Kluyveromyces lactis: one gene and its partners. The main gene of each other region encodes a partner of the protein of the gene in region 4 in a complex. Links are inferred from orthologs where the notes say so. Each region holds a gene or a part of one and is shown on either strand. Other genes may lie near its edges.

Region 1 (4,718 bases), on a different chromosome or scaffold from region 4:
GGCAAAAGAGGTTAAGAAAGATGATCCTGAGTTGACTAAAAACATTCCACAAGTATCCAGTGCATTGTTCTTCCAATATAATGAAGCTATCAAGCCTCCATATCAGGTACTCATCGATACAAATTTCATCAATTTCTCTATTCAAAAGAAGATTGACATAGTGAAAGGTATGATGGATTGTCTTTTGGCCAAGTGTAACATATTGATAACAGACTGTGTGATGGCTGAATTAGAGAAGTTGGGTCCCAAGTATCGTATAGCGTTGAAGCTAGCTCGTGATCCGCGAATCAAGAGGCTAAGTTGTTCGCATAAGGGTACTTATGCGGATGACTGTATTGTTCATAGAGTGTTGCAGCACAAGTGTTACATTGTTGCCACGAACGATGCTGGTTTAAAGCAGAGAGTGAGGAAAGTGCCGGGGATCCCATTGATGAGTGTTGGAGGACACTCCTATGTGATTGAGAAGCTACCGGGTGTGTTCTAGGATAATATAAAACTGGGATTTAGCATTATACATAGCGGTATGAGTATGTATATATATATATAACTTTTCTTAACAGGATAATAATTGTACATTAGCACAAACGGCTTCTCGCTTATGTCTGTTTCAAGCCTTTTACCAAGTCTGGGTCCCTTCCTGGGGAGACAGAACCTAATTCTACAGGAGATGCGGCAATGGTTTCACCACCGTATTTCTTTCTCAAGTATTGTTCCAATGCAAGTGTGTTCCTGGAATTTGCCTTATAAGCAATCCCAACGATATCACCAACAATGGGAATCAACCCTAATAGGAAATCGATACAGATGTTCCCCAAGAGCTCTGCCTGCAAGGGCACAGGCAAACCACCTTGAATCTTCTGTGCTTCATGGAACACTGTCCATGACAAGTACAAACATATTAGGTCACCGACCACTGGCAAAAGTCCAATGATACCGAGCCATCCAACTCTCATCCCAAATATCTTAAACATCATATCAAGCCTGTAAGCTCTTTTCCTAACCCGTTGCAACACTGTTCTGTCATTTAATGGGACATAATCTGGAATTGCTTTCTTTAGCTTCTTATGCACAACTTGGCTATTTCCAGTCCAAAACGACTTCTTCACAAAAGTAACTTCCTCATAGTACGGATCCTCACCCTCACCAATCTTAATGTCGCCAAATATCTTGTTGGAAATCTTGCGTAGAATAAATGAATAGAACACCATGGTTTAGATTCAAGGTAAAGTTAACAAAAGAAACTGTCGTCGCCTATAATCGTGGTAAATTCGGTCTTTAACAGAGTTCAAATAAGCTCATATGCCAGGACTAGCTTTTCTGAATAATAAATACTCCCAAAAACTAATGGAAACATGTTTGTGAAGTACCAAACCATGTCCCTTTATCATGACTTTTTCTATTTCAAAGCCTTTAAAGCCAGGGAAAGCTTTAAAGCAATCTGGCAAACAATTTTCCATTGAAATAGCAAAGATACGTATGTAAGAGAAGAAGCTGTACAAAGAACGCTAGGCAGGCGCAGTTAGCATTTTGGAAGGCTGTATGGAAGAATGAGTAGCATTAACGAACGACCACAGGACCCTTCGAGTGCGTTGGAGCAAGCTACACAGGATGTTGCGAACTTGAAATCAGAGTTCCATCATATCATGGATGAAATGCAGGTAGCAGATAAAACCCTGGTGAGCTCAAGAGAGCAGTACCTACGGGAGGATTACGTGCTTCATAAACTTGTGAAACAGCATGGTTCGTTGACCAAGGACCCTAAAGAGGGATCCATTACTGAGACGGTAGAAAAAGAGATGAAGCGATGCGGCGATTTGCAACAACAGAAATGCATATTAGCCAATACAGCATTGTATCTAGTAACGAAACATTTGAGCAAGATCAAGGCCAACATCGAGTCACTTGAGGAAGATGGGTTACTTGCACCCTTGGATGATGAGCTTTCGGATAAGAAGGCTGGATCTGTTGATTTAGGAGCTGGAATCGCTGGCCTTGGTAACGGAACGGCTGGATCAGGTTCCAGTTCTGGTAGGAAACGGCCAGCCTCTTCATCATCAGCGAACGGGAAAGGACAGAAGAGAAAACAGCAGAAGAAAGAGAGATCTAGGTCTCATCAGCGTGCAGGAACAGTGTCTCGTGACGTGAGTCCTAACGCTGGTATCGGTAGAGATCCGACTTTCGATGCTTTGGCATATAACGATGATTTGTTCAAGATGAACCAAGGCGGCGAAGAAGACGACAAGCAGTTGTACTGTTTCTGCCAAAGAGTATCATACGGTGAGATGGTGGCGTGCGATGGTCCAAACTGTAAATACGAATGGTTCCATTACAGTTGTGTCAACTTAACGGAACCTCCAAAGGGTCAGTGGTATTGTCCAGAATGTCGACTGGAAATTGCTAATCAGAAACTAAATAAGAAGAAGAAGAAGCAATGATCAACGAAGGTTGGTATGACCCATTCATGGTCTTCACATTTCTTCACTCCTGCCGCTCGTATATATATATATATATCCTCATATGTAAATATTTTCAATTCTATCATGTAATGTATTATTATAATTAGCATTTATTCGATTCTTATTCTATATTCGACTTTGACATCTTGTGCTCTTTGTGAAGAGATGCAGAAAAACAGGCGAAAGCTATCGAAATAGTGGTCTCTGAAAGCGCACCAATAGGCAACATGGCTACACTATTTGGAAAGACGTTGTCTCAGGTTCATCCGAAGCTTCGAACAAATGGTATTGGTATTGCAACTAACCATAGACGCATTTCGCTAGGGTTCGATTTAGTGAGCAGAGACAAGAAGAATCCGTTATTACGGAAGTATTTAAGGAAACGCAGACATCGTGGGTTGAGGCGAGGGTTGCATCCAGATGAGCAAGGTAGTTATCACACTTTGGATGAGGATTTTGGAAGCAGTGTTAGAGAACCGTCTGTTTACGACGATTTAGACGAAGTTTTGGAAGATATAGATGAGTACGATGAGGACGGAGAACCCTTAAGTCGGACGGTGTCATTGCCCTCGAGGGTATCAGAACCAAGCAACGTATCACAACAAAATCTTGATTGGCTCTTAGAGGAGCACGAGAGAAGGTTCTCATCATCGCAGAACAGTGAGAACGACGAAGATGAGGACCTTGAGAATGGGACCTCAGAACAAGCGGATGTAATAGCATATGACGACTTTATGCACCGGGTCAGACAGCAATTGCAACAAGACTTCCATGATAGAGCATATGCAGGTGGTGCTGGCGGTAGTGGTGCAGGCGGTCCCAACAGGAGACGTGGGTCGCTAATATCAGTAACTAGTCGAGGTTCAGTACCGCAGGTATTTCAAGATGTGGGCAGCATGAAAGAAGAAGATTTAAGCCATGCTAAAGTAACCGCAAATAGTGAACTCAAAGTGTTGGCATCGTATTCAATCCCATTGATTTTCACTTTCTTATTGGAACAGATGTTCCCCGTGGTATGCTCGTTAACGGTGGGTCATTTGGGGAGGACAGAATTGGCAGCGGTCTCTTTGGCTTCAATGACCACAAACATTACGTATGCTATCTTTGAAGGTATAGCCACGAGTTTGGATACACTATGTCCATTAGCCTACGGATCTGGGAATTATTACAGTGTTGGTGTTCACATGCAGCGCTGTATCATGTTTTCATTTACAGTATTCATACCGTTCGGATTTATATGGTGGTGGTCTGAAACATTGTTGACCTTAGTAATGCCGCATGAACCAGAATTAATCCATATGACCGCGAAATTCCTTCGAGTCAGTATACTCGGTGCTCCGGCCTACATCATATTCGAAAGTTTAAAGCGGTTCTTACAAGCACAAGGTATCTTTGATGCAGGGATCTACGTTTTAATGATATGTGCTCCTTGGAACATGTTTGTTAGTTACACTTTGGTGTGGAATGAAAGAATAGGTATGGGATTTATCGGAGCACCTATTGCTGTTGTACTCAATTTTTGGACTATGGTCACCTTGCTATCGTTATATGCTATATACGTGGACGGATACAAATGTTGGGGTGGGTTTAACTCCAAGAGTTTAAAACATTGGAAAGCTTTGTCAGAACTTGCTGTTCCCGGTATCGTGATGTTAGAAGCAGAAGATCTATCCTATGAGATTTTAACCCTATTCAGTTCTTATTTTGGTACTCCATACTTGGCCGCCCAATCCGCTGTTTCCACCACGGCAGCGTTATTGTACATGATCCCATTCTCTGTCGGTATCTCATCAAGTACACGAATTGGAAATTTCATTGGATGTAGAAGACCCAACTGTGCCAAATTGAGTGCTGAACTCGGTATAGGGTCTAGTTTATTCGTTGGACTGCTAAACTGTTTGATAATCAACGTGGACAAGAGGAGCATAGCAAATATCTATACAAAGGACGAAGAAGTCATCCAGTTAATGTGTCAACTGTTACCGTTGGTCGGTATAGTGGAGATATTCGACTCTTTGAATGCGATCAGTGGATCATGTTTACGTGGTCTTGGACTACAGTACATCGGAAGCATAGTGAACCTTGTTGTGTACCATCTGGTAGCCATCCCATTGGGAATTTTCTTGGCATGGTACATGGACATGAAATTGAATGGGCTATGGATCGGTATCGGTGTTGGAATGTTAATTATAGGATTAGTGCAAAGTTATTACGTGATTTTTGCAGACTGGAACGACGTCATGGAAAGAGCAGAGAAGAGAC
Region 2 (4,088 bases), on a different chromosome or scaffold from region 4:
CTTCGCAATTACTATTCCAGATCCGGTCACGTGGATTAATACTATTTGGTTTAAGTTTTCTTGGGTTTGAAGATTATCCGGTACGTACATTATTATATTTTTATACTGCCAGTTGAGTGAGAGGTAGGGCAGGTGGATATCGCCATTCATTCGATAGATTCCCACGCATGTAACGATTCGCGCAACGGTAGTCTGCATAAGGTTGTTGCAGATTGCCATGATTGGAAGTTTCTGTCTAATTTGGTCTGTTTGAAAAGGATCTTAGGCCTCACTGTGGTTAGATCGTTTAGGGAGACTGAAACGTCATTCAATATTCTTTGCTCTAAACCCTGAATGTTCGAGGTACTTCCTGTCACTAGAATGTTCGTAAGCAGTAGACTTTGTAGTTGTTCAGAAGTGTAGCTGTGCGTTGGGATGTTCGTATCCTCGTTGTTGTTGCTTTGGTTGCCCGAGGAAGCATTACCCGTCGTAGTGGAGGACCCTGTAGTGTTACTGCCTGCGGTGGACATTGCATTGACACCATTTAATAAACTTTGGATGCATGCTCTGATCAATCCAATGACCCCAATTAATTTCTCCGGATGTGGCTTTTTCTCTATGTCATTGACATCTGCCATTTCTACATCTCCGTTTGCATTGTTACTTACGTGTATCACTGGCTTGAACAAGAGTTCTCCAATGGTGTATAGCTGTTTGTTAGTGAAGGTGAGAGTTTTCTTATCGAGTAGGAAATTTTTGGTCAAGTCCATTGGTGACACCATATGTTGGTAATGAGGAGCCACGTCATAATTAGCATCCAATTCAATCGGAGAAACTTGCAGCATGCTATTCTTGAAGTTGGGTAGCCATTCAGTGGCATCCCTCCAGATTTTCGTTGATTTGCCCGAATCCTGCTTCAAATATTGATCGCAGATCTGCCAGTTTAAGAATGCACCACCGATCTTGTTCTCCTTGCGGTATTGTTTGAAAAGAACACCATCAATGACAACGTCCACTTTCACTCCACTGTGGCCAATGTCCACCACAATTCCACTCGATCTTCCCTGACTCAACGTGTTGCAGACAGCCTCATTCAAAAGTTGGACCATTGGAAAACCGTACCCCAACAGTTGTTCCATAAATCTCTTACGACGCGCACTGTTTAAGTCGGAAGGTAAGACAACACATACTGGATAGTCTTCGAACTGTATGCCTAGGCTTTGAAAGATGTACTGCCATTGAGCATCCATCATATCCCAATCATTTGGAAGTCCGTTCTTATCGTACAATTGGTATATTTCAGCGCTCTCATCGTCGCAATGCTCTATCATTTCCCATTTACCGAAAACTTTAACATCCGATCCATCTCTTTTATAGGCCAAATATTGAGATGGTACAATTAACTGCGGCAAATCTTGGTTGCTGAACCCACAAATAACCCTAGTCTGCGAGATCTGTATCACCACACTCTTCATGGTCGGCATCTTGAACTTGCAATAGATATAACGTAATCACTCTATATGCACCAGAACAAAGAGAAGATCTTCAATTTTCAAAAGCAGATAAGGATTAACTTCTTCAACAGCTACCTGTTTTTGCCGATTATAACTGCTATCAATGGAAAATTATGGCTCTTAAACGGGATACTAGAGTTGATAACACTGTTTATGTTGATGTTTACATGTTGGCTTTTTTTTCGTCGGTTCTTCGAATTTCAAATTCCAAACTGAGTTCCAGTACTGTTACCCGGACTCGTCGCCAATGTTAATATTGTTTGAAAGAACGCACTACTTCAACATCCAATTTGCATATATAATAACAAGAAAGGATGAAACAGACGATCCGCTATCGAACGGATTTGAATCTGGTTTTGATTGTGTTCTACTCTATCGGTAAAGTGATTTAACATAACCTAACACTCATCTCACACAACTATGGACGAACAAAAGAAAGAATACGAGAAACTAAAGAAGAAGCTTCGAGATGCTTTAGTACAGAAGAAACAACTCGAAGCCAAGTGGAATAGTTTAGAGCAAGAGGTATACGATAAAGAAACAGAGTATCTATCACAGAAACCATCTTCCAGAATGGGGAACATTCTGCTCGGGTTTCAGGGTTTCAACAAGAGCAGTTCTGCGCAGCAGATATTGTCTGACCACTCACATTCGTCAAATGCCCAGCCATTGGACGATAATGATCGCATTTTTTCATTAAGTTCGTACCTTTTTGCAAAACAATTGGCTGCTTCCAATCATCAAGAACAAACGAAGTCCAATGATTGAACAGGAAGCTTATCTGTTTGCCCTCTTCACTGAGACATATCCAGGTCCAGGACACCGGACACAAGAGACAAGAGACAAGAGACAAGAGAAACTAAGGGAGGGGGAAGAAAAACGGTATTATTTTACCCCGCATCTATTTCTCTTGAAGCACTCTTTAAATGCTCGTGATAATTAATCACTTTGTAACATTATGTATTCTCTCTTCCTAAAGTATTTTCAATTACTTACCCTTAATTTTTGAGAGGCCTCTTTTTCTTTTCATCCGTCAGATCAACGATCATAGAATCAGTTTAATCAATAAAACTTGCGTCAAACTACTCGTAGAAGCAAAGGATTGAATCGTTTACAGATTTCCAGTCCAACCGAATTGTCCCAATGTCTTAGATGAGACTCAGGTGCTATGTAATGGTGTATGTATGTGTGGTTAGCATGAATTCTAACCTCCATTCTTGATTGTTAATTGGAGTATCACTCAGCCAATCAATTTTCAGAAACTGCCAAAACCTTGAAATTTTCAGCTTCAAAGAATTAGATATTATTATAACAAAAGATAGAGCAGCAATTACACATTCAAACAAACCAATGAGAACAAAGACAGAATCGTGAATTGCTGTCGATTAGGAGCGTTTGAAAAGGTACCCAATTGTTGATCGTTTAATCGGATTAGACATCAATTGAAGCAAATAACTGTTTTTGTCTCTCTTAGTGAGAAAAAGTAGCGAAAAAAGAAAAAATATGTGGAGGCGTTCTATCTCGATTTTAAGGCCGTCACCAACAACAGTGATTCCATCCAATGTGTTGAGCGGATCACAATTAGAATTGAAACCATTGTTTGATAACCATGCTGAAACCACTAGAGAGGATGGATCTAATGTTACTACTACACAATTCCAACTATTGGGGGACAACCCGACATTAGCCTCGATACAAGTTTCACCTTCGATCCCATTATATGTGAGGCACAACTCTATCGTATCGATACACGATTCCGATAGATTATCCAACGTTAATGTTTCTTATAATAAATGGTTCACGTTTTGGCCTACTCTTTCGTTAAGCAGATTTGATAAACTTGTGGGAACCAACACCTTCAACTGTTTGGTATCATCTCGTAAGTCTTCAGATACGCTATCTGTATTACAGTTAAACGGTACACAGGATTGGATAGTATTGAACCCAAAGAGCGTAGTATCTTTTGAAGGGAATTCTTCGCTCTCCATCCAATGGTTCCACAAATGGTTAAACTATTTCAGATGGATATCGAATAAGGTGACGGTTCTCAGGAGCTACGGGAAACTGTCGGGACGTGGTAACGTTTTGTTAAATGGGAATGGATCTGTCTATAAACTAGAGTTAAAATCAGAAGATGATCAAATTATATTACAAAAGAACAGAATTCTAGCCTTCAATGGTTTGAACAAATTAGATTTTAAGCAGGCTGTCACTTTTGAACAGACCTCAAAATCGCTTGAATCTGATTCACAACCAGAAACGATACACAATAACGAGGACAAAATTGCCTTCATGAAAACTGTTAACACAACCTTAGAGTTTTTGAAGACACGTTGGCACACGATGAGCAATACCGATTTCGTCAGGGTTAAGGGACCAAGAACAGTTCTCGTTCAGACCGATGCCAAATCGTCTGCTCAAACATGGCCCACATCTACACTATCTCTTAAACCAGCAAAAAATTATCTAAGCTTTGCCAAAATTGATAATGGGTCTGTAAACTTCAAGAACACGACATCTCTTTTGGAAAAGAAGTGATGCCTATGTCAGGCAGCTGATATAACGAAGTTCCGCTTTAATATAATATTCCATCAC
Region 3 (6,179 bases), on a different chromosome or scaffold from region 4:
AAAGTCTTTAAAAGAACTTCGTTCAAGTAAAAAGATGCGAATCCAGTAAGTTTGTAAGTTTTATTATCTGAAAGAATAGCCTTTAGGACCAAATATATCACTATCAGGTTCGTTTCATTGATAAATGCGTGGTGATTTTCATCGCTTAAGAAAGCTGTCAAGTGGCCCTTTATGGAAGCAGTAACCGCATTTTCTGATGTACTTTTAGCCAATATGTCTCGTATCGATGTCATTGATATAGTAGCAGATCTCGGAATCCTGAGAAGTTCAAACTTACTGTCTTTCTCTCCTTTAAGTGTTCTTAATTTGGTGAAATTGACAAACACACCGTAACCGCCGGTGTCTCCATCAACCACTGACTCTCTGATAGTAGTACATTCACTCTTGGTTATGGGAGTATTCTCTAGTAGCCATTCAGTTGCTGCTTCCATCTTATATTGCTGTTTGTTTATGCTTGTTTATGGATATTATTGCATCATAATAATGGTACTCAAGCAAGCAGGATACTTTTTATATAATTCCATTGATATGACATAGAAGAAACGAAGCAAAAGGTTTTACAGTTTAATTTAGGTCAGGTTTGAGAGTTGATTTAAGTAGGGTGTATATATTGAGTAGTGCTTTGCAGTTGCACTTCGAGTCGCTAGTGATATGTTCCCAGAGGTATCTTAAATATGATCACGTGCTTCTAGATGAACCATGACTCCCCTACTGCAGTCTTCTAAAAGATAAAACTTAGGATTACCGTAATAGCAATTCGCTGTACACGATAACAACTGACAAGGGACTCGCTGATTGATATTTTAATTATCCCTTTCATTTTTACATTCTTGACAGCATCGCATGTCATCTTTACCTTTTCGAAAAGAAACTATTCTTTAAATTTGATGCAAACCTGCATTTGGCGAGCTCATCACTACTTTAGAATAGATTCGAGGAAGTTTCAAAGAGATAAACAATAGTTATTAGTTGGGCTTTATTAAACCAGCAACAACACTCTATTTTAGTCTGCAATGGTCCAGGTTGTTAAATTAAGTGCATTATCCAAGAAACGTGCAGTCGATGAGGAATCTGATCTTGACATATCAAGTACAGACTCAAATATTTCAGACCAAGAAAACGGTCAAGAGGAACAAGAAATCATCAACATCGATTTTGATTTCTTCAATGGTAATCCCGACGTTGATTTCCATGCTTTGAAGAATCTGATGCGTCAGTTGTTTGGACCACAGGAATCGAACAGAATTCAACTAAGTGAATTGGCAAATTTAATCTTGGACTCACCAACTACTACCATCAAAACCGATGGTAAGGAGTCTGACCCATACTGTTTCCTATCATTTATCGATTACAAGGCCAACAAAGATAGTGATTATGCCAAATATCTTCGTAAAGTTGACCCCAAGCTAGCTACTTTCCTACAAACTATAGATCAATCGGAGAAGACTTGTTCGTTAGTCTTGAGTGAAAGATTGATTAATATGCCACCAGAAGTTGTGCCGCCATTGTACACTATCACATTAGAAGATGTGAAGCTTGCGCTTGGGGATGATAAAAACTATGATTTCTACCTAATCGTTTCAAGGAAGTACGAAGTGAATTTTGATATGGACGAAGACGATCTAACATCGAACCAAGCTGTCCGCAAGAAGGTAAGACAAACAAACGAAGTAGACTATTTCCATGAAGAAGATCGTTTCCTTGAAAAGCTAGCCAAAGTCCATGTGGATTCCGAGGCGAGAAAGGGTCTTATTACATCGTACATGGTTTTGGACCATGCTGGACTAATTAAATCCATCGAAGATCTAGATGCGGCCATCAAGACCTGGTGAGTGATGTAAATGTTCAGTAGTTACATTGAGGAAGGTGATGATGGTATGTGGATTAATCCCGTTCTGGGAACCCAACAATTAACGCACGTGACCTGATCTTTAGTTACCCTCCTTACATGATTTCGGCCTCCCAAAAGAAAAAAAAATCTTTCAAGGAACAAAAAAATTGCTGAACAACATGAAATACGTACTTATATAGTAGAAATCGAGAAAACAAGCCGTAATACGGTAACAGAACAGGACCGTGAGAACACTATTCGACTCAGTTTCAAAAGTACCTGACACAGAAAAGCCTTGTTTGGTTGGACGATCCTGTTGTTTGTACAGAAGCGTGCTGTTTCCGAGACAAGCCCTCGCTAAAAGAAAAATCAGAGGACCCAGTTTCCTTTTTTTTTTTTTGGATATTTTCCTATCACTTGCCATTCAGACCGAAAGTTATATTTTTTCAACGTGACAGATATTCACAGAACATCTAATAGAAAGTAAGGATTTCAAGGCGATGAGCAGTGCAAGCAAAGGGAATGCTACTGGAAGTAAGAGCCCAGAGCAGCTCTTAGAGGAGAGACGGCACTTGCTAGTACAATTGTACTGTATCTCACAAATTACCGAGTTAAAAAACGTGGAGAATCATGAGAGAATAGGGAAGGAGATAGAAAAGTTTTTAGATCAACATACCTTGATCAAGGACAAGCCTATAGATATTAATGCATTGCCTAAGTTTAGGCCGAGAGACGTGTCGTCAGATAGGAAGCTGAATAACAGGAGTAAGAGTTCTTCACCGTCAGAAGTGAAACGAGAATTGAAGAAACAGCGGTCGAAAGACGTGTCGCCAAGTGGAAGCGAGGAACATGATGTGGATACGCAGACACTCCCGCAGTCTCAAACAAGGGTAGTTCCACGAGTTCAGTCACAGCAGTCAATTCAGCAAAGTTCAAGGCAATCTATGGTGCAAGCGCAGTCATCTCGACAGCTGCAGCAGCAACAACTGCAAAAGCAGCGATCGGTGTCTCCCACACAGAAGCTGCCGATAACACATAATAATGTTCCTCCTGTGGTAGTTCAGGCACATATGGAACCGAAATCTGTCCAATATCCGGAGACCCAATCAAAGCCAAGTACTTCTGGAAAGCGTTTGTTAGATGAGGAACAACAAGATATTTCCGAAAATCAAATAAGTAAAAGGCAACGGCTTGATAGTGGAAACCTATCTAATTCTACCGCTGCACGTAACGCTGCAACAATGGAAATTCCGCCTCATCCTTATTCTCAGATGATAGACATCTCACAATTGCATGCTGACCCAACACCAATTGGGGTGAAAGAACCTCAACCCTATATTATAGAATCTATTATCAACAATGTATCAAAGGAAGAGCGTAAGACGTTTTTCGAAGATGACATAAATGTGAAAGAGGCGGTATACATGATTACGAAAGAGAACGCGCCAACCAAGTTGGCAAAGGGTATGCCCATTCAAGAAATCAAATACTTATCCCAGACTTTGCCCTTGCTGAGATTGATACCACAATCTCAAAAAGCATTGACGACTGATCTGATTAATACTGCATTGAATGAAAGACGAATCACTGTAGTAGCATCAAGGATAGAGGAATTGAGAAGGCTGAATCTCTGGTCACTTAGACAACCAAGAAAATTTATCGATCCCGTTACCGCTTCACAACCTGTAACTCATCATAATGTGTTGATTGAAGAAGCAAAATGGATGCGTGAAGACTTCCGTGAATCGTTGAATTATAAGATAGCCATGTGCACTCAAATGGCACAGGCAGTTATGGAATTTTGGACTTATGGTAAAGTATGCTGTATCAATTGTAAAAGTATTCCACCGCCATCAAAGGACATAGAAGATATTGCTTCCTCCCAAGATATGGGAACAAAAATCAGTACAGTTGAGCCAGAACAAAAAGATAAAGAATCAAACACAAGTCCTGATCAATCCAACGATGATGGGTCTTCTAAAATTGCTGAAGATGTGGAGATGTCAGAGGATGGTGTAAAATCAAGTACCGGTTTAACTGATGGGAGTGAAGCGGTGGAAGAGAAGTCTGAAAATGGTATCAAAGAGGGGGACAAGGAAACTGATAAAAACTCATCTGAAGAGCCTACCATAGACATACAAAAGTTACTAAAGAGAGTTAACCCCAAAGATGAAATCGTCGCTCCATCTCTTCCGGTTACCTCCATGGAAGTTTATTTAGCTAAGAAATCATCCTCTCCCTTCAGGAATTACATTGATATAAAGGAATTATCAACACTGGGAGCAGCCATTTCAAACTCACTCCCTTTGTATGGTCTTTTGGACGAAAAGAATCTCGATTCTAGCAGACCATTGCCCTTTGAACCGGTTTCAAAGGCAATTTCTCCTCTTGACGAGGACCATTTCATGAAATTAGTAGAAAAGCAATTTGTTGACGAAGAACCATCTCTAGTTCCTTTATCAAAACGACGTGGTATGTTTTATGGAAATAGACGTAGCCATTATCTTCGCCCTCCTAATGCGCCATCATTACGCTATTTGAAATTTCGTACACCCACCATCTGGTTACCTGAAGATGATCAGGAGCTTGTCAAAAATATAAACCAGTATGCCTATAACTGGGACCTCATTAGTTCTCAGATGTCCAATCATCACAAAAGAGAATATGTTTCAAACATCGAACGTAGAACCCCTTGGCAATGCTTTGAGCGGTTCGTTCAACTAAACGAAAAGTTCAACATTGCAGATATGAAGGGTCCAAAGGCTCATAATGCACAAATATGGTTGTACGAAGCTCATAAATTACAGCAGCAGCAAAAAAGGAGAATATCTCCCCTTGGTGTGGGATCGGAATCCATACAACGAGGACATAGGCGTTTACGCTGGGCAAGTATGTTTGAGGCAATGAGAAAGTGCATTAAAAAAAGAGAAAACGCACCCAGACCAAATCCTTCGCAGCCGCGTAAACCTTTTGATGTTAAGAATATGAGTGTTCCAACCCCTCAAGAAATGTCAGACTTAAAAGCTCAGCGTGATGAGGCCTTGAGAAGGGATATGCAAATAAAACGTGCTGCCAAACAAAGGATGCAGATGGCTCAATTGCAGCAAGGAAAGCTTCCTCTCACTACAGCATCAAGTCCGAATTTGCCTATGGCAAATAATCCTAACTCAAAGGATTCAAGAATTAGGTCTAAGCAGTCCACTCCCCAGAGTGCACCACCACTAGGTGAAAAAGAAAAGGTTACAACTCAAACTCCCACACAGAGAAATACGAAACCGGCTAATAAACGTGAAATCATTGAAGGATATGCCAAAAAAATACTTTTTCAGAAACCCAATTTCACTCCAGAACTTGCTCTAATGGCTGCTGAAAATATTTACAGGAGCTTGCCATTGTCTGATCAACAAAGGAAAACTGTAATTTATGACAATGTTGCACAACCGAAAGTGCGTCCACCAGAGATGAAACATTCTTCTCCGACGCCTCAAGAGATTTTGCAACGTGCTCAGAAAAAGTGAATACAATTAATAATATATAATCAGTTCATAATCACAACATTGATTCAAGCAAAGAATTACGAATAATGAGTCCTTTTGTTATAATCATTATTTCAATATATATATGTATGTAAATTCAAACATTTGGGAAAGTGTAAACAGCAGATTCCTCCTTTGGTACGCCGTTGGCTTTGTAGGATACTTTCCATTTCACTCTGAGTGGCTTTGGGGCATTCTTCACTGCGTTATCAATCCAACTTTTTTGATGGATTCCATCCTTTGCATAGGATGACAAAACAGTATTTGATTGTGGTAAAAGTCTCAATTGTTGGGCTTTAGGAACCGCTAGCATTAATGTAAGGTCTGTAAGTTGCGAAATTGACACATTTGAAAAGAAAGAAGTCACCTTGATGGTGCTTTCTGATTCTCTAGAAATTGCAAATTCAAACTTCAAAACATCTGACTGGTTTACAAGGAAACGGTCAGACACTATGGAAGGTTGAGTAGAATGTTGAACGGCTGGTGCTGAAAACTCACTCAATAAGTCATTGCTATGAGTATCTTGTTGAGCTTGGACAGGTGATGGTGATGATAGATCACTCAACAGATCGAAATTTGAGTTGGTTGTGGTAGTTGTGGTAACAGGTACGGCAGGAGATGCATGAGCTGCTGTGTCCAAGGCTATGCTGCCCCCAAATCCAAAGTTGTTGTTGTTGTTGTTGTTGTCAGAGAAATTCAAGTCATTCAGACCGCTCAACAGGTCATCTTCTAAATTGTTTCTGGCAGCAGCAGCAGTAGAATTTGAAGAAGAACTTTTATTAACTTCTTCGTCATCAAAATCAATCAAATTT
Region 4 (5,064 bases):
CTTTGTTTTCCTTATAGACAGTAAAATGAATAAACGATTTTGATGGACCATAACCCCAGTTTTCGACACCGTTTGCATCCTTAGTTTGTTCGATCAATTCTTCTTTGCTAACACGTGTTTGGCGAGAAGCCATTCCAACAATGAAATGGTTTGAATCCGTCGTTACAGATTCTAACTTGTTGTCGAAAGCTCTACGTAGCAGTTGATGTATTTTAGTCCTTTCAAGTTTATCATCGAATGCCTTCGATGTTTCAATCTTTTTATTTGAGCGGTACACAGCTTCAATTTTTTGAACATCCTCTTCTCCCAAAAGTTCAACAAGTTCATTTCTAATTCCTTCATCCACCTTAAATCCTTGGCGTTTCTCAAGTTCTTCTTTTTGCGATTGCTCGATTTGTTCTCTCGTTGGCTTTGGCTTCTTTGGCATATTAAAACCTTTGTCAGTCAAATGCACAACTTCGCCTTGCTTGGTGATTTCATTGACTAAAAAGTCAGTGTACCTTTGTTTGATCTGACCATTGAAACCAACATTATCCATTGATAAGTAATGCGTGATACCAACATCCTTTTCAGTGATGTTGTTATTGTTTATACCTTCATTTATACCTTCACCAACTTTTGTCCTCTTAATATCTTCTTGCTGGGCAGCAGCTTCGGACTCTCTTTTCAAAGATTGGTCTGACATTATACCAATACTATACTTTAACACGAGAGTACTAATACCTGGTACTTGTTATAAGCAATTAAGAAGCGCAGCTTCCAGATTTGAACAACTGACTTCTGCTTCAATGTGATGAGATGAGATGAGATGAGCTCGAAATTTTTCAAGAAACGAAAAGAACCGTTTTGTATGATGGATATTATGAAAAGTTAACGAAGTGACATATACAAAGATGAAAGAGAGTTACACGACTTAATCGAACTGATAGACAACTAATAAGTACCAATGAATACATCCAGCCGTAGCTCTGAACCTTCGAAGGTAGCAGATGATGTTTACGTTCAAACTCGGTGGAATAATGAATTTAAACATGCTGATTATTTACCTGAGTCGTTACAGAAGTGCCTGGATCAAGAAAAGACTGTTTTAGAAAGGTACAGTGAATTAGTTGAGGTGTCGAAAACTGTTGCAAACGAAAGCTCTCAAGCATTAGTCAAACATACCACAAAACCAGGCGACCAACTAGTACGAAGAGTGTTCCAACAGCCACATCAGCAGATTTCATTGATGGAACGTTATGAAAAGACTCGAAGTTATAAACCGCAATGGCATGCACCATGGAAACTCAGTAAGGTAATAAATGGTCATACTGGATGGGTAAGATGTGTATGCGTGGACCCCGTTGACAATGAATGGTTTGCTACTGGTAGCAACGATACAACCATTAAAATCTGGGATTTAGCTGCGGGAAAGTTGAAAATTACTCTAATCGGGCATGTAATGAGTGTTCGAGATATTGCTATCTCAAAGAGACATCCTTATATGTTCTCAGCAAGCGAAGATAAACTTGTAAAATGTTGGGATCTAGAAAGAAATACTGCAATTAGGGATTTTCACGGTCATTTATCTGGCGTGCATACCGTTGATGTTCATCCGAGCCTTGATATAATAGCTACTGCTGGTCGTGATGCTGTAGTAAGGTTGTGGGATATACGATCAAGATCTGAGATAATGGTTCTGCCCGGTCATAAAAGCCCTATAAATAAAGTCAAATGCCTTCCCGTTGACCCACAAATAATCAGTTGTTCCGGGGATGCAACAGTTAGACTTTGGGATATCATTGCAGGGAAGGCAAGCAAAGTTTTAACGCACCATAGTAGAAACATCAGAGACTTGACGCTACACCCAGCAGAGTTTAGCTTTGCCAGTGTATCTACGAACGACGTCAGATCCTGGAAATTGCCCGAAGGACAGCTATTAACCAACTTTCAATCCCAGAACACTGGGATTTTGAATACCGTATCAATTAATCACGATAATGTACTATTAGCTGGTGGAGATGACGGTACTTTGTGCTTTTACGATTACAAAACAGGACACAAATACCAAAGTATGATGACAACTGAAGTTGCTGGCTCACTTGAAAGTGAGCGATCGATTTTATGCAGCACCTTTGATGTCACAGGAACAAGACTCATCACAGGGGAAGGAGACAAAAGCATCAAAATATGGAAGCAAGTCCCTGATGCTACAGAAGATACATTCCCTGGCTTGCCGTGGAATCCCACGTTAATATCTCAAAGATTCTAATCTAGCTGGTGTCTACTTGCAGCGACTTATGTAGAAGTTTGTAGTTTAACTCTATTAGGTCCCCGTTTTCCATCTATCTAGAATATTTCAGTCTGCATTAATTGCGAGGTTTGCTCTAACTGTCATATGATTACAGTCACGTAGTCAAGGACAGGGAACGTCAGGTTTTCTTGTATGTTTGTTCAAGCATGGTGTTTGCTTTAATACGGTAATCTGAATAAATTAACTGAAATTTAGCATCTTCAAAATATTTGAACTTATTAGTTACGCAATAAACCAAATCCAAAAACAGAGCACCTCTGTAAGAGGAACTAGTAAGGCAAGGCAACTGTTTAACAAATATTTTGGGCGAGCTCGCTAATACATGAGTCACGGCGAAGAAAAGGAACCTGGGATTCCCCAGAAGGTTGACAGCATCGATGAGATTTTCGTTGGATGCAAGTCATGGGTACTAAAAGATGGTCAAGATCGTCTTGCTGAAATTCTATCCATTAACAGCAGAAGAGATCCACCTAAGTTCTACGTGCATTATGAAGACTTCAATAAACGTCTAGATGAATGGATCACTGCTGATAGGTTACAGATAGACAAGGAAGTCATTTTTCCTAGGCCTAAAGAGCTTGAAGAGAAGAAAGACTCGAAGAAAAAGAAGCAGCAACAGAATAAAAGTGCTACACCACAAGCAGCCAGTGCTACTCCGGATGGTGGGGATGTGATGGATTTGGATAATTTGAATGTACAAGGGATTCCTAATGAAGATATTTCCAGAGAAGATGAAATAAAGAAGCTTCGTACATCGGGGTCAATGACACAGAATCAGAATGAGGTGGCTAGAGTTAGAAATTTGAACAAGGTGATTATGGGCAAATATGAAATAGAGCCATGGTACTTTTCACCTTATCCAATAGAGTTGACTGATGAGGATGTGGTATATATCGATGATTTTTCCCTACAATATTTCGGATCAAAGAAACAATATGAACGATACAGAAAGAAATGTACTCTACGACATCCTCCAGGTAACGAGATATATAGAGATGACTATGTTTCCTTCTTTGAAATTGATGGTCGGAAACAGAGGACATGGTGCCGTAATCTATGTCTTTTGTCTAAACTTTTCTTGGATCATAAAACGTTGTACTATGATGTTGATCCATTTTTATTTTACTGTATGACTAGGCGTGATGAACTAGGCCATCATATTGTCGGTTATTTCTCAAAGGAAAAGGAATCAGCTGATGCTTATAATGTGGCATGTATTTTAACACTACCTCAATATCAAAGAATGGGTTACGGTAGACTATTAATCGAGTTTTCTTATGAGTTATCTAAGAAAGAGGGTAAAGTCGGATCACCAGAAAAGCCGTTATCGGATTTGGGTTTGTTATCTTACAGAGCATACTGGGCCGACACCTTGATTAAGCTTTTGGTAGAGCACGGCCAGGAAATCACCATCGATGAAGTTAGTTCAATTTCCTCTATGACTACCACTGATATTCTTCATACTGCAAAAGCCTTAGAAATATTAAGGTTCTATCGAGGTCAGCATGTACTGTATTTGAATAGCGATGTGATGAAAAGGTACAAAAAGCTAAAGAATAATAAGAGGAGATCTATAGATCCTCAAAAATTAATCTGGACACCCCCAGTATTTACCGCTTCACAATTACGTTTCGCATGGTAAATAATGCATCGTGAATTGCGGTCTATGTTATTGTTTGTTAACGTTATGTTGGTATATATAAGGGTAGTTAAGTTTCGGTATACGCATCATATGTAATATTATTCAATCAAAAGGAAATAGTCTTACGTCTTTATTAGCCATTTGAGATGCCGCAATCGCACTAGGGACTGCAATACCGCAACAATCCGCCCAAGTACTATGACCATGCGATCCATCAGTACAGCATGAATCATCTTCATGATGATCTTGTGCGCGTGCTGATGGTTCACTAACGCCCTCGGGACATTTCAAGAAATATCCGAAATAGAAATGCTGCATGATTGGTAATTTTTGTAGAACCTCTGCCTTATACATTTTTACCATGCCTTCAGCAACTTTTGACCACCGTTTCACCCCGCTTATATCATCCAACATAGGTGAATGCCATCTCAAACTAGCTGTGGTTTTAACTTTATTAATGAATGCAATGCAGCCGAAATATAGATACCTGTCTTGGAACATTTCTACGACTTCTGGATTGTGAATTGATTTTGGTTTCAAATGCTTATGAGTGGATAGTTGGAATGCACCGAAAAGAAAAGGTAAAAAGTGATAGTCATCTAGACCCCAAACACCATGAGAACCAGCAGGCTCCAACCAGTATTTGAGCTCAAGTGATCTCATTATCCCCAAATATTTAATGAAAAGCATCAATACAATATTCGAGCTGTCGTTCTCCAGATCAAATACCTTTGATTCTGTCAAGCAGTACAAGAAACATATGAAGTTCAATTCATGACCGGAACCATAATCAATCCTTGACCTATCCCCCCAAGAGTTAATGAAATACGTACAAATGTCATCCAACTTCCCTGTGTCAGGTTTTTCAATGCCTTCAAATATCTTTGATATTAGCTCATTAGAGTGCTCCGAAATGTCATCATAAAAATCCCTAAATTCGATCTTACCGAATCTCGAGGTATTAGCATCTTTGATAACCTCATGCTTCCCAATGATTTCTGTTACTTTTGATAACAAGTTAGAGACTCTTTGGACGTTATCACTAATTGGTTGAGTGTAATCATTGTTCTCTCTGCCCCGTACACTCAATGCCAAGGTATTAATAAATCCAATCACGTCTTCAAACGTC
Region 5 (5,227 bases), on a different chromosome or scaffold from region 4:
TTCGTTGAAGTTCCACTTCCAGAACAGATGATACACACTTTCGTCGAAGGTAAACTACAAACCAAGATTTACGAACATGCTGGTTGAATATCTGAATAGTATATCTTCTCGTTACTGGGTGTTAGTTTATTCTTTACTCATTAGAACATATAAATATATATATATAATTAATATAATATGATACGATAAAATAATGATAATAATATGTACAAGGTTTCCAAGATACACCATTCTTTTTAAATTGTCATAGTCACAGTGTATCCATTCTTTCGTGTGTATTTGTTTTCGTCAACTTATTTACCCCTTCTCACATAGTACATGTATGAACGTTCATGTACAGGTAAGCCGAATGGAGTAATAACTTCAGATTGACCTGGACGTGCAACAGGGTCTCTTAAGTAGACCGCATGACATGTCTTGAATGATATTTCCAAATGGTGTGGTAGAATGGCGAATGGTGCTAAGAAGGGTCTTGGTTTCCACGGAGTGAAATATGGTTTAGATGGATCGTTACGACCAAACACACCCTTTTGCCATGGTAAATTGATAGCTTTTTGAGCAGCTGGTTCGTTTTCCAATAGTTCAGGAACATTGATCTTTTGATGCAATGGTAACTTTTCAGCCCACTTAGCATCGTATGGAATATCAACAGAATCAACGGATGCCATCTTGTCATTATAATGTTCTCTGACCACGGTTTCATAGAAATGTCTCAAATCAACTATAGTATGATTGATGGCTCTGAATTTTTTCTTTAAGGCATCGTTTGTGTTATCAACAGGTTTAGTTATTCCTGTAGCCACCTTTAGCAATTCACCTTGTTCATTAGGAATTTCAGCCAAAGGCTTCCCTGCTATCGTTTCCACAGCCTTGGCAGACTTGACTTCTCTATAAATTTCGAATCCTTTAGCTGCCAAATTTTCGTTATTGTAAAATTCGCCCAAGAAATCTTTTACTGCCAATTTTTCTACATCGTTAACGCGGTTAACGGTAGAAAAGATCTTAGCTAACAAATACTCGTTACTGGTTTGGTCTAATTCTTTCCTCATTTGAATGTGCATGGTTTTGTTGTAGTTTTCGAGGAAGGATAAAAATTCCTGTTTCTTTGGATCGTTACTATCCATAGTTCTTAGTTTTTCGATCTTTTCATCCCAGAACTTTCTAGGATTCTTTCTAGCCTCTAGAATATATTTGTTCCATAGGAAAATTTGGGTATTATCCACTTTCAAAGCTTCCTTCAAGCTAGGTTTCTTGGCACCAAGAGCTTGTAGCACTTTTTCGGGTCTGACGTTGAAAACATCACCAGCTTTCAAGGCATATCCCGGAGAAGTAATCTTTACACCATTCACATGGACGTTGCCATGTAAAATAAACTGACGAGCTTGTCTCACTGACGAGGCAAACATAGCTCTAAACAAAGCAAAGTCTAGCCTTTTCTCTAGTACAGCGTATGTTTGTAATAGAATGGGCGTCGGTTCGATATCACCACCCCTTAGAGAAGCATCTAATTGAGCCACAGAGTTTAGCTGAGGCTCGAAAACAGACTGCCACCTACTCTCTGTTAAATGTTCGCCATGGTAGGCACGAGTTTCCTGTTTAGAAGTCCATTTCTGTTGGTATAGTGTTTTCGATCTAAAACTGACCTGAGATTTCTTATACAAGTTGAACAAATTGTACTTGTTAAAAGAGGTACGAACCTTCCCTCTGGACAAAGAGTTCAGAAGTACAGCTTTCCTAGGCATTGCTGGTCTTTTTCTTCACAATGTATTGACAAAACTAACCAGAATTGACTGCTTACGGACTCTTCGAAATGGAAATACATTGCATATCCGAACTACCTGCATAATATTTTTCAATCAAACGCTATCTAATGCTTGAAGCTTTCCGATATTGAAAAATTTTTAGAGGAATTTCGTGACATATGATATCAAATATTAGCATTCATAGTTTAGAAAGATGAGAAACACCATAGAACCATATTGAGATGGACTGGCGAAGATGGTATCAAGCCTCATACGATCTGCTTTATCAGCGATCTTGATAGGAACTTTATTATATCAATTGCAAGAACGTTCTTTTGGTGTATAAGGTTGTGATACTTCAGATAAAAGTAATACGATACGGTTCACTGCGATGTCCGCTGTAAAGATAGAATCACCTAGAGGGCAAACATGGAGTAAAGTGGAGGAAATAAGGCTGTTTAAATGGATGATGCTGTTCAAACCTGCAGGAATACATAAACACTTCCATATGGTGTGTTTGCTTGAGCGATTGAACAAGCCAGATCAGTATCCAATCAAACTTTTGCAAAGCGATAAAGGCAGCTCAGATAAAGTGTTTTCTGGGGAGGACGTTTGGGAACAATTGAGTCGGTACTATAATTTAGAGAAGGCAGATGAAGTAGAGAACCAGCCATACCCTGAATTTTATAATGATGACGGACCAACCGAAACTACAAACAAAAAGACAGAAGGGGACGCTCAACTAGATAATGATGATGACAGTGACAATGATGTTGACAATTGTGACGAGCTTAAGAGAAATATAATACCATTACAAAATAGACTCCAGCAAGAGACGGAATTTGAACTATCGTGGGAAGATTATGGAGAACTTATGTTAGAACATGCTAGGGATCATGAGGTGGAAGATATTAAGCAAGAGGAGACCGCTTCTGCGGATGACAAGGCAAAACTGAAGGGTGCGGAATCACAGGATACGCAAGTAGAACAAGAGTCAGAAGAGCCACGGGAACGAGAAAAGGATATCGATGAAAAGGATACTGAGCAAAATAATGTACAGGCGAAACAAGAAATGGCGACCACTCCGCCAGTCAGTGTTGGAGAATCTGTGAGCGAACTGGCGAATGAACCTGTCGATGAACCTGTCGATGCTCATAAGAAACCAAGGACAAGACGCTCTACAAGGTTGACACGTTCACAAAAGCGAGGCATTGATGACGAAAGTGAAAACAAAGAAGACCAACCCCATGGCGGAAACACCGATGAAAAGGAAGATGTCGAACACGATACAGAAGGGAGATCTGGTAGCGAAAAAGAATCGACTGCTGATGCCGCAGATACTACAGCTACAAAACAAGTCACATTTGCTGATGAATCTGAAGGTGCTGCCAAGGAATCAGCTAATTCGCCGACAGGGAAAGCAGAAGAGAACGAAACGGAATCATCTCAACAGCCGCGCCCTAAGAAACAAAAAGTTGCCGCTGCGGAGGAAGTTCCTGAAGATCTTGCCGACGTGGATTCTCCAGCTAGGAGAACAAGAAGAAAATCCATAACAAAACCAACTACAAGGCTCTCGAGCAGGCTTAGAAGCAGGAAGTAGTTGTTCTTGATTGTTTTTTCAATAATGCAATAACAACATAATATAGCTAATGGTTTATATTATAGGCATTTCGTTGATGTACAAAAATTGAATGTTAAAATGGAAGCATACAAACACTACGGCTACAATTTGATAGCAATTCCCATGTTGAAAGGTTGATGAGAAGGTACGGAAAGATGTAAAGCTATAATAATAATAATGGATGGGACCAATTGGAAGGAATCAAGGGAGAAACCAAAGAAAAAATGTGAAGGAAATTAATAGTATGTGTTTTATTCAGAAGAATGACATTATACATCTAGTTAATCTTCAACAATTCAACATCAAAGACTAAAGTAGCATTTGGTGGGATCAAACCTGGGAAACCACGTGGACCATAAGCGTATGGGCCTGGGATAGTTAGTCTTGCCTTTTCACCAACGGACAACTTTGGAATAGCAGCATCCCAACCCTTGATAACTTGACCTACACCAATGTTACATTGGAATGGAGAACCTCTATCAACGGAAGAATCAAACTTTTGACCGTTTTCCAAAGTACCAGTGTAATGGATTGTTACCAAATCGCCTGGTTTTGGGAAGTTGGTACTGTCACCTGGTGATAATCTTAGAATTTGAACGTTACCTTCAATTGTTTCGGACATTGTTTCTGCTGTTTGATGTGTGATAGCTGAGTTATTTTAAAACTGCAATACAATAACGGATTAAACTGACACAAAATAGCACTCAATTGGCCTCGTAATTGCAACAGTTTCGTGTAGAATGTAGGAATCCTTATTATAGAAATGAAAACTTTTTGTTTTCTGAACGATAATGATTTCTAGAAGCAGTGGTAACGTATTTAATGACTTCAAGACTTTCAGCATTTGTCACGTGACTGCATTCTTTCTTTCTTACTTAAGCAATCACTTTTCGCGGAAACATGCCTGTAAGAGGTTTGAGCAGACGCAACGGCAGCACAGCCAACATTCAGGTCAGTTCAAATAAAGATCATCGAACCTTTTAGCATAGGGTTTTTAAATCACCTGAAATTGTACATTCCTGAACAACAACCGACGTCACTAAGCCGTACTACATCGAATATCCTACGAAATATCTCATTTGCTATTATGCTCTGTCCGCATCTGTATGTCCAGAAGTGTTTGAGATTTATAATTGCTTGATAATTAAAAGGTGAATAACTATAGCAAGAGCCAGGTTTTCAAAACTTTGAGGTATGGTGCTTTGTAATTCAGCCCTCATTTGCTTTATTTAGAATTAACGCCTCGATACCTGTTAAGGGAAAGTGAGCAAATTCTTGGTTACTGGGTCTAGAAGAGAACATTTCTGGAAAAGCAGGTTGATCCTAATTGTGCTGGTCAACTTGTAGTCGAGTAGATGTGAATTCACAGTAGCACATCGACTCTTATTCATAAACGGAATTGGTGATACTTAGAGCGGCTTATTAGCTAACATGTTATGAAGTTTCATTTAGTATTGCAAAATATTCCGTTGACTGAGCCGCAGAAAAGAAACTGCCCAGCGAATATGTTACGTCGTACAAAAATGTACATAGTCTTGCAATTCAGTTCCGTAACCATGGGCTATCGAATGAAAGGTGGACTAAAGAGTTCTCCGATTTCGTCTTCACAGTTTCTCAATGACGGATCAAATGGTTCTTCCGCATTTTTTGCCTATTCTGTTAATACCACTGAAAGCAAGTTTCGACTCGTGCACTGTTTCATACTGTTTCTAGGCCCACAGGCTGAAATAAAGTTATTCGCGTTGATCGTTTCTTCTTTGTACATTCAAACTTCTTTTCTTTTGTTACCACTTTCAGCCAACTAACCTGCTCCTAGTGATGATGTATTGGAATTTCACATAAGACACTGTAGTCATTTCACAAG
Region 6 (5,956 bases), about 1.3 Mb from region 4:
TTGCACCGTCTCGAAGTAACTCCATGTTTCGCAATGTGCCATGTGCCTCTTTCAGTTTCTCATCAAATTGTGAAATGGCTTCGGCAATTAAGTTCAATCGAACCTTTATAAAAACCAGGCATTCTTCCCTAGATTTCTCCAAATAGTAATCGTAACCTATATTTTGGAAAAACTTACCATTCTGAAATACTACCTCACCATACTGCCATTCTTCTTCCGAATCTTCGCTCGTGTCAGCATCTCTTATCCTATCGAATATCTGTTCATACAACGGCTGCTGTTCCTTTAAGAAGGTTCTTTTGTTTACCAAATTATCTATGGTACCTTTGACAGTATCCATTAACTCGGCAAAAGAAGCCCCACCTTCTGCTGTTTCCATTGCGTTTCACGACTAAGACTGATTTTCTCAGCCTCTTTACCTGCCTCAGATAACTCACTCTTTCAACAAGCGATGAGATGACTTCATTACGGATGTCAAGTTACTGATTTCCGTTTTTTTTTCTTTTTGGTAGAAGCTCATACAATTTTTGGCATCACCATTTACCTTGACCCAATGGAAGTCACGTGAACAGAAATTCCTATTGTCTACCAAGGTGGTTATGGGAGACGTTCATATTTCCGTAGAAGACGTAAAAAATTTTTTTTTCTTTCCATAAGTTCGGATTTCAATATAGAAAAAACCAATACCCCCATTCACCGGACAAACTGTTGCGTTCCACCCAAACAACCAACATAAAAAGGAAAACCACGCGCTTCAGAACAGTCCGGTGGCTCGTTCAAACCTACTGAGAATCAACCATCAGTAGTGATACTTAAGGACTTTCATCAGTTCTGCAAAATCCGTACCAATAGCTGCTATCTTCAGTCCTATTTTAGATTTGGTCTCCTTGTTTTCTGCCTCCTTCACCGCCACCCGATTGCTTGCCAGTGAAGTTTTTCGCAAAATTTGGCCCCGAAAACAGGAAGAAAATAAATTTGGGCCCCCGTAAAAGAACCAATTTTTTAGAGGGATAATTGTAGTTACCCTTCCTTTCATATTTCTCGCTATTGAAATCTGGAATTCAAAGATCCTTCTTTGGCTTCAGCCGCATAGCTATCAGGGTAACTACACACGGGCATTGACACATTGCAGTATGCCAGCTCCTGCAGTGGATTCATCGAGGTTCAGGCACAGAAAGATCAGCGTGAAGCAACGACTTCGGATCTATAAGAGCCATGAAATTAAGGATTTGGAACAAGAAGATGTTTCGGCCATCAGTTCCCAGCATCAACAGCGAGAGCTGATGGAGATTGAAACTGGTGTGGAGAAGAATGAAGAAAAGGAAGAGCATTTATACAAAATTCTTCAATCCAATCAGCTTCGAGAGAACAAGAAGGATCTATTTATTCCAACACCAGACGCCTCGAAAACTTGGGACGAGTTTGACAGATTTTACCAAGGTGAATTCAAATGTCCTACGAGTTATATCCAGTTTTCTGCACAATTAGAAGATTGCTGTGGTACTTTGTATAATATGGATGAAGAAGACGAAATCTTTTTGGCAGATTTAAATAAATCCCTGGCGGATTCGGTCGAACCTCTAACGGAAGATGAGTTTGAATTAATTATGGCCAACTTTGAGTCTTCCATCAAAGATAGGCAACCCTTCCTGTCCATGGATCCCGAGAGTATACTTTCATTTGCAGACCTAAAACCAACCATGTTGAAAAACGATGTTGGTGATTCTGGCGTAAAAAAGGAACTCGCGAAGGAAATTGGGATGCCTGAAGATGAACCATTCTTGACAATGTTTGACAATAAAAGACCTCTAGGTAAAAGGGAAAAAAATATGGAGACTCTTATCGAATTGTTCGGAGAGAAAATACACGATCATTGGAAGCAACGCAAGATATCACGTCATGGTTGCGATATCTTCCCACAATTGAAATCGGAGCGTAATAATGATAAAGACGATAATGATCCATATGTGTGTTTCCGTAGGAGAGAGCTTCGACAACCTAGGAAAACAAGGCGGATAGATGTTCAGAACTCACAAAAATTGCGACTTCTATGCCAACAATTGGAATATACTAAAGATTTGGCACTCACTGTAGCCAAAAGAGAAAGAGCAGTATTAGAAGTCCTAGAAAACGAAAAGTTCGTCTTCCAAGCGCGAGCCCAATTGAAGACAATGAAGAGAAAGTTAGGCATAGATGCCGATAACGAGGATTTGTACTCGGCAAAGAAACAAAAACTCGTGAGTTCGGTGCGTACAATCAAACAACAACAACAACTTCTTCTTCAAAAACAGCTACAGATACAACAGCAGCAACAACAGCAACTACAACAGCAGCAGGCAGCCATTACTTCAGATTCATCTGTTAAACGTGCAAAATCTTCAAAATCGTCGAAACTTCACAAAGAAGACAGTGGTCTATATGCTGATGAGAAAGGAAGCGAGCCAAAGAAGAAAGGCCCAAAAACTGGTTCAAATAAAAACAAAGAACAATCACTGTCATCTGCGCAGGAAATTGGAGCTCAGTCGCCTGTTGCCAATGTCTCGAATGTACAACAACAGCAAAAACAGGCATCTTCTCAAGTATATGTTAAATTGCCTAACTCTAAGATACCTGATATCGTGTTAGAAGATGTCGGTAAATTGTTGCATTCAAAGGAAAAAAGCACAAGGAAATTTGTTGAAGACAGGATGAGAAAAAGGAAACAGGAAGATGGTGACATCTTTTTCAACCTCACTGATGATCCTTACAATCCTGTTTTCAACCTTTCAATACCAGATAACGTCAGCCCCCAAGATGCTCCATTTTCTTCTGTTGCTGGCTCAAAGTTCGAAGTAAAAACATCCTACTATTCACCTAATCTTCAAAATTATATCACTGGCACTGCGAATGATATAAAGGTTTTTAACAAGGAAGGTGAAGCTGTGGAGAACAATGAGTATAAAAAGTTAGAATTTTTCAATCCATTTGATAACGAGATTCATACTCATTCTCGTGAATTTCCAATCGCTTTCAGACGCCGTCGCGGTCGTTTCAATATGGAATATATTGACCAAAGAAAAACTGATCACAATATTAACGACATGTTATTACAATTTATTGATTTGGATGGAATACAGAAGCAAGAACTCGATAATGATGTTATAAATGTGTATGATTCTAAACTGGATGATTTATCCAGGTCATATTATCACTGGAAATATGATTCCAATTACAACATTTACGGGTCCAAGTTTTCCGACGAACCGGCGAAGTTGAACCAAATTTCAAACGATACTCAGGTGGTAAGATTTGGAACCATGTTAGGATCCAAAGCATACGAGCAACTAAGAGATGCCACCATCAAATATAGACAGGAACAAATCAACAAAAGAAAGAAACTGAATTCCCTGCAACAACAGCAAATGCTACAAAAGGGTCAACAGCCCATTAACAATGCTCCTCATTCACAGTCCTCTTCCCCACCATCTCATCAGGACACTAGGAAGAATCCAGGATCAACTCCAAATCAGTCCAGTCCGCCAAAGAAACACGTTACTCCTAACGCTGCTGCATAACGAAATTGTAAACTTTTGATGACACCAAATCCCATTATAAATATGAACTTGTAATTAGTATTTTCCGCATTCTTATGCGAATCTGTAACAATATAGATAATTCATGTTATTAAGCATCGTGAGCTGCATTATACATCACGTGACTGAACTGACTTCAGCTTCTTTTTTTTTTGGTTTACGCATCTAAAATCGGCATCTTGCATCTAACATTATGTACCATTGCAAGCATTGATTGATGAACTATGCCCAGAATAGTGCATTCACTAGGAACACTAAATTTAGAATAATACCTAGGATACTGGTAGTGGTTTACCAAGCCAGTTGTTAAAATGGTCCAAATTGACTTACCGGCTGAGTCTGCTGTTCGCATCAGGTATCCTACATTGACGAAGAAACTAAGGAAAAGAAGCACGCTTGTAATCATAGTGGGCTTGCTTCTGCTATGCATTATTACCTCCACTCATATATCTCATAATTTCAGCGGATCAGATACACCTAAATGCAGATCAATCTATATGTACCCTTCGTACGCCAGAATTGATGGATTTGATTCAAGACACACTAAACTCGCCAAAAAATACCACCTCTACCTATACAGAGAACAAGGTAAAGATAAAGAGCCGAAACATGGTGATGAAATACAGCTTGATGGTATACCTGTCCTTTTTATTCCCGGCAATGCAGGAAGTTTCAAACAAGCTAGATCTATAGCTGCGGCAAGTGCCAATTTATACTTTGACCATAAATCAACTATTCAAAATTCCAATGCAAAGAACATGGATTATTTCACAGCCGATTTCAATGAGGATTTCACTGCCTTTCATGGGCAAACAATGCTGGATCAGGCTGTATACTTGAACGATGCAGTACGATATATCTTGTCAATGTATGCTCAAAGCGCTGCCTATAAGGAATCCAACCGCCCACTACCTAAATCTGTCATTTTATTGGGGCATTCCATGGGAGGAATAGTGGCAAGATTAATGCTTACACTACCGAATCACATACCAGAGTCTGTAAATACCATCCTGACGTTGTCGTCCCCTCATTCAACAGCCCCCGTCACTTTTGATGGTGATATTCTAAAACTTTATGACAGGGTAAACTCATACTGGACCTCAGCCATGAATGATATGGGCAGTTATTTTCGAAACAATGTTTCTGTGATCTCCATAACAGGTGGTATTTTGGATGACATATTGCCTGCCGATTATACAAATCTCCAAGGTATTGTTCCTGAATCAAATGGCTTCACTACATTCACTACTACAATACCGGAGCTATGGACCCCAATTGACCATTTGGCAATAGTGTGGTGTGATCAGTTGAGATATCTTTTGGCAAAATATATTCTCGAAATTGTCAATGATGATGCAGGAGGAAAAACCGCGACTTTAGATATTAGAATGCGCAAAGGAAGAAAGTTTTTCTTGAGTGGACTTGAAAGAATTACTGATGCAGATAAATTGATCGATAAAAACTTAAGCGCCCCAGCCGTAGATTTCAGCGACACAGAAAGTGTCCCTGAGAATCATTTACTTGTCTTAAACTCTTCTGAATCAATGTCCACAGGATATGCCTTCAATATTTCTAAGTCTGTCGACTATAGCTTCGAAATGCTCACATCACTCGTCCAATTCGATATTTTCTTTTGTAAAGACATATATGGAAAGGATTGTATTAACGGATTTTCAAGCTTTTCCAAAGTTCCTCACTCCACAAGTCTACAAAAATTCCCAACTGACTCGTCATGGGGAGAATCGGTGTCTCCTTTTCGCTTTATCTCATTAAATGGCTCTCTATTGCAGGGTTTCCAAATAATAGTTTTCCAGGGCTCAATGAAAAAGAAGGAAGACTTTGTTCTAGCAAAGTATAGCGATGATAAGAGCATTGAAACTGCAAGCGACGGATTGTGGAAACTATCTTTATTCCCTTTTAGAATGTCCTTAAAAAATAAACATTCTTTTGTCCATGGCCTAGCATTCCCAAATTTATGGTCCTCGCTAATCTCCTTCAATTTGAAAACAACTTTCTCTGACGAAATAGATAGCATGTTCAGACCGATGATGAGACAGTATGTTAATAATCCATATGAAACCAAATGGCATTTATTGGCTGCCTCAAGTTCTCATGAAATCAATATGCACAATATATCTCCCTTCATACCACTTGATGATACCATAGACAAGTCATTAAATTTGATGTTCTTCATCCCACCTGGAGAGGAAATTTCTTTAAGACTATCCATAAACTGGAAACTAACATTGAAGATGCTTTATATCAGATTCAGATTAGCTTTTGCATCAATTCCAATATCGATAATTGCTTTAGTCTTATGCTACCAGTTTTACTACTATGACAGCCCTGATAGTAAATTCATCAGCTTTGATACTGGTTTGATG

Evidence for each region.
Region 1: the proteins of ESA1 (region 4) and YNG2 are in contact, whole or in part, in a crystal structure (PDB 5J9U), measured with the Saccharomyces cerevisiae proteins. The link is inferred for Kluyveromyces lactis from reciprocal best matches to the Saccharomyces cerevisiae genes ESA1 and YNG2. Residues at the interface, in NP_014887.3 of Saccharomyces cerevisiae: Asn226, Arg242, Lys243, Ser439, Gln440, Trp445; in NP_011958.1 of Saccharomyces cerevisiae: Leu5, Glu8, Gln9, Ile11, Gln12, Ser15, Asn16.
Region 2: ESA1 (region 4) and EAF6 share a complex: the UniProt entries of both Saccharomyces cerevisiae proteins name them as parts of the nuA4 histone acetyltransferase complex. The link is inferred for Kluyveromyces lactis from reciprocal best matches to the Saccharomyces cerevisiae genes ESA1 and EAF6.
Region 3: ESA1 (region 4) and EAF1 share a complex: the UniProt entries of both Saccharomyces cerevisiae proteins name them as parts of the nuA4 histone acetyltransferase complex. The link is inferred for Kluyveromyces lactis from reciprocal best matches to the Saccharomyces cerevisiae genes ESA1 and EAF1.
Region 5: ESA1 (region 4) and EAF7 share a complex: the UniProt entries of both Saccharomyces cerevisiae proteins name them as parts of the nuA4 histone acetyltransferase complex. The link is inferred for Kluyveromyces lactis from reciprocal best matches to the Saccharomyces cerevisiae genes ESA1 and EAF7.
Region 6: the proteins of ESA1 (region 4) and EPL1 are in contact, whole or in part, in a crystal structure (PDB 5J9U), measured with the Saccharomyces cerevisiae proteins. The link is inferred for Kluyveromyces lactis from reciprocal best matches to the Saccharomyces cerevisiae genes ESA1 and EPL1. Residues at the interface, in NP_014887.3 of Saccharomyces cerevisiae: Ser153, Met154, Thr155, Gln156, Asn157, Pro158, Ala162, Arg163, Val164, Arg165, Ile171, Gly173, Lys174, Tyr175, Glu176, Ile177, Trp180, Phe182, Pro184, Tyr185, Pro186, Ile187, Glu188, Leu189, Thr190, Tyr196, Ile197, Asp198, Asp199, Phe200; in NP_116629.1 of Saccharomyces cerevisiae: Lys75, Asp119, Tyr120, Ile121, Pro122, Thr123, Pro124, Asp125, Ala126, Ser127, Met128, Thr129, Trp130, Glu132, Tyr133, Phe136, Tyr137, Thr138, Gly139, Ser140, Phe141, Glu143, Thr144, Thr145, Ser146, Tyr147, Ile148, Lys149, Phe150, Ser151.

Annotation. Positions count from the first base shown.
Region 1 is NC_006037.1:628,289-633,006, reverse strand, and holds YNG2 (histone acetyltransferase YNG2), read left to right. Parts: upstream 1-1,547; coding exon 1,548-2,435; downstream 2,436-4,718. Other genes in the region: rRNA-processing protein FCF1, read left to right, coding at 1-484; KLLA0_A06996g (DUF4112 domain-containing protein), read right to left, coding at 597-1,208; KLLA0_A06952g (uncharacterized protein), read left to right, coding at 2,684-4,718. UniProt on the Saccharomyces cerevisiae protein: Component of the NuA4 histone acetyltransferase complex which is involved in transcriptional activation of selected genes principally by acetylation of nucleosomal histone H4 and H2A. The NuA4 complex is also involved in DNA repair.
Region 2 is NC_006041.1:567,163-571,250, forward strand, and holds EAF6 (Eaf6p), read left to right. Parts: upstream 1-1,913; coding exon 1,914-2,261; downstream 2,262-4,088. Other genes in the region: ARP7 (Arp7p), read right to left, coding at 147-1,463; AIM24 (Aim24p), read left to right, coding at 2,997-4,031. UniProt on the Saccharomyces cerevisiae protein: Component of the NuA4 histone acetyltransferase complex which is involved in transcriptional activation of selected genes principally by acetylation of nucleosomal histone H4 and H2A. The NuA4 complex is also involved in DNA repair.
Region 3 is NC_006041.1:1,911,918-1,918,096, forward strand, and holds EAF1 (Eaf1p), read left to right. Parts: upstream 1-2,331; coding exon 2,332-5,349; downstream 5,350-6,179. Other genes in the region: CTM1 (cytochrome c lysine N-methyltransferase), read right to left, coding at 1-431; protein-transporting protein BCP1, read left to right, coding at 1,014-1,832; KLLA0_E21473g (uncharacterized protein), read right to left, coding at 5,465-6,179. UniProt on the Saccharomyces cerevisiae protein: Component of the NuA4 histone acetyltransferase complex which is involved in transcriptional activation of selected genes principally by acetylation of nucleosomal histone H4 and H2A. The NuA4 complex is also involved in DNA repair.
Region 4 is NC_006042.1:1,031,895-1,036,958, reverse strand, and holds ESA1 (NuA4 histone acetyltransferase complex catalytic subunit ESA1), read left to right. Parts: upstream 1-2,615; coding exon 2,616-3,935; downstream 3,936-5,064. Other genes in the region: pseudouridine synthase PUS7, read right to left, coding at 1-685; mRNA splicing protein PRP46, read left to right, coding at 947-2,251; peptidylprolyl isomerase RRD2, read right to left, coding at 4,038-5,064. UniProt on the Saccharomyces cerevisiae protein: Catalytic component of the NuA4 histone acetyltransferase (HAT), a multiprotein complex involved in epigenetic transcriptional activation of selected genes principally by acetylation of nucleosomal histones H4, H3, H2B, H2A and H2A variant H2A.Z.
Region 5 is NC_006037.1:1,006,827-1,012,053, forward strand, and holds EAF7 (Eaf7p), read left to right. Parts: upstream 1-2,133; coding exon 2,134-3,342; downstream 3,343-5,227. Other genes in the region: SRV2 (adenylate cyclase-binding protein), read left to right, coding at 1-87; NAM9 (mitochondrial 37S ribosomal protein uS4m), read right to left, coding at 294-1,742; peptidylprolyl isomerase FPR1, read right to left, coding at 3,641-3,985. UniProt on the Saccharomyces cerevisiae protein: Component of the NuA4 histone acetyltransferase complex which is involved in transcriptional activation of selected genes principally by acetylation of nucleosomal histone H4 and H2A. The NuA4 complex is also involved in DNA repair.
Region 6 is NC_006042.1:2,335,809-2,341,764, reverse strand, and holds EPL1 (Epl1p), read left to right. Parts: upstream 1-1,133; coding exon 1,134-3,554; downstream 3,555-5,956. Other genes in the region: BUD27 (prefoldin-like protein), read right to left, coding at 1-379; BST1 (Bst1p), read left to right, coding at 3,884-5,956.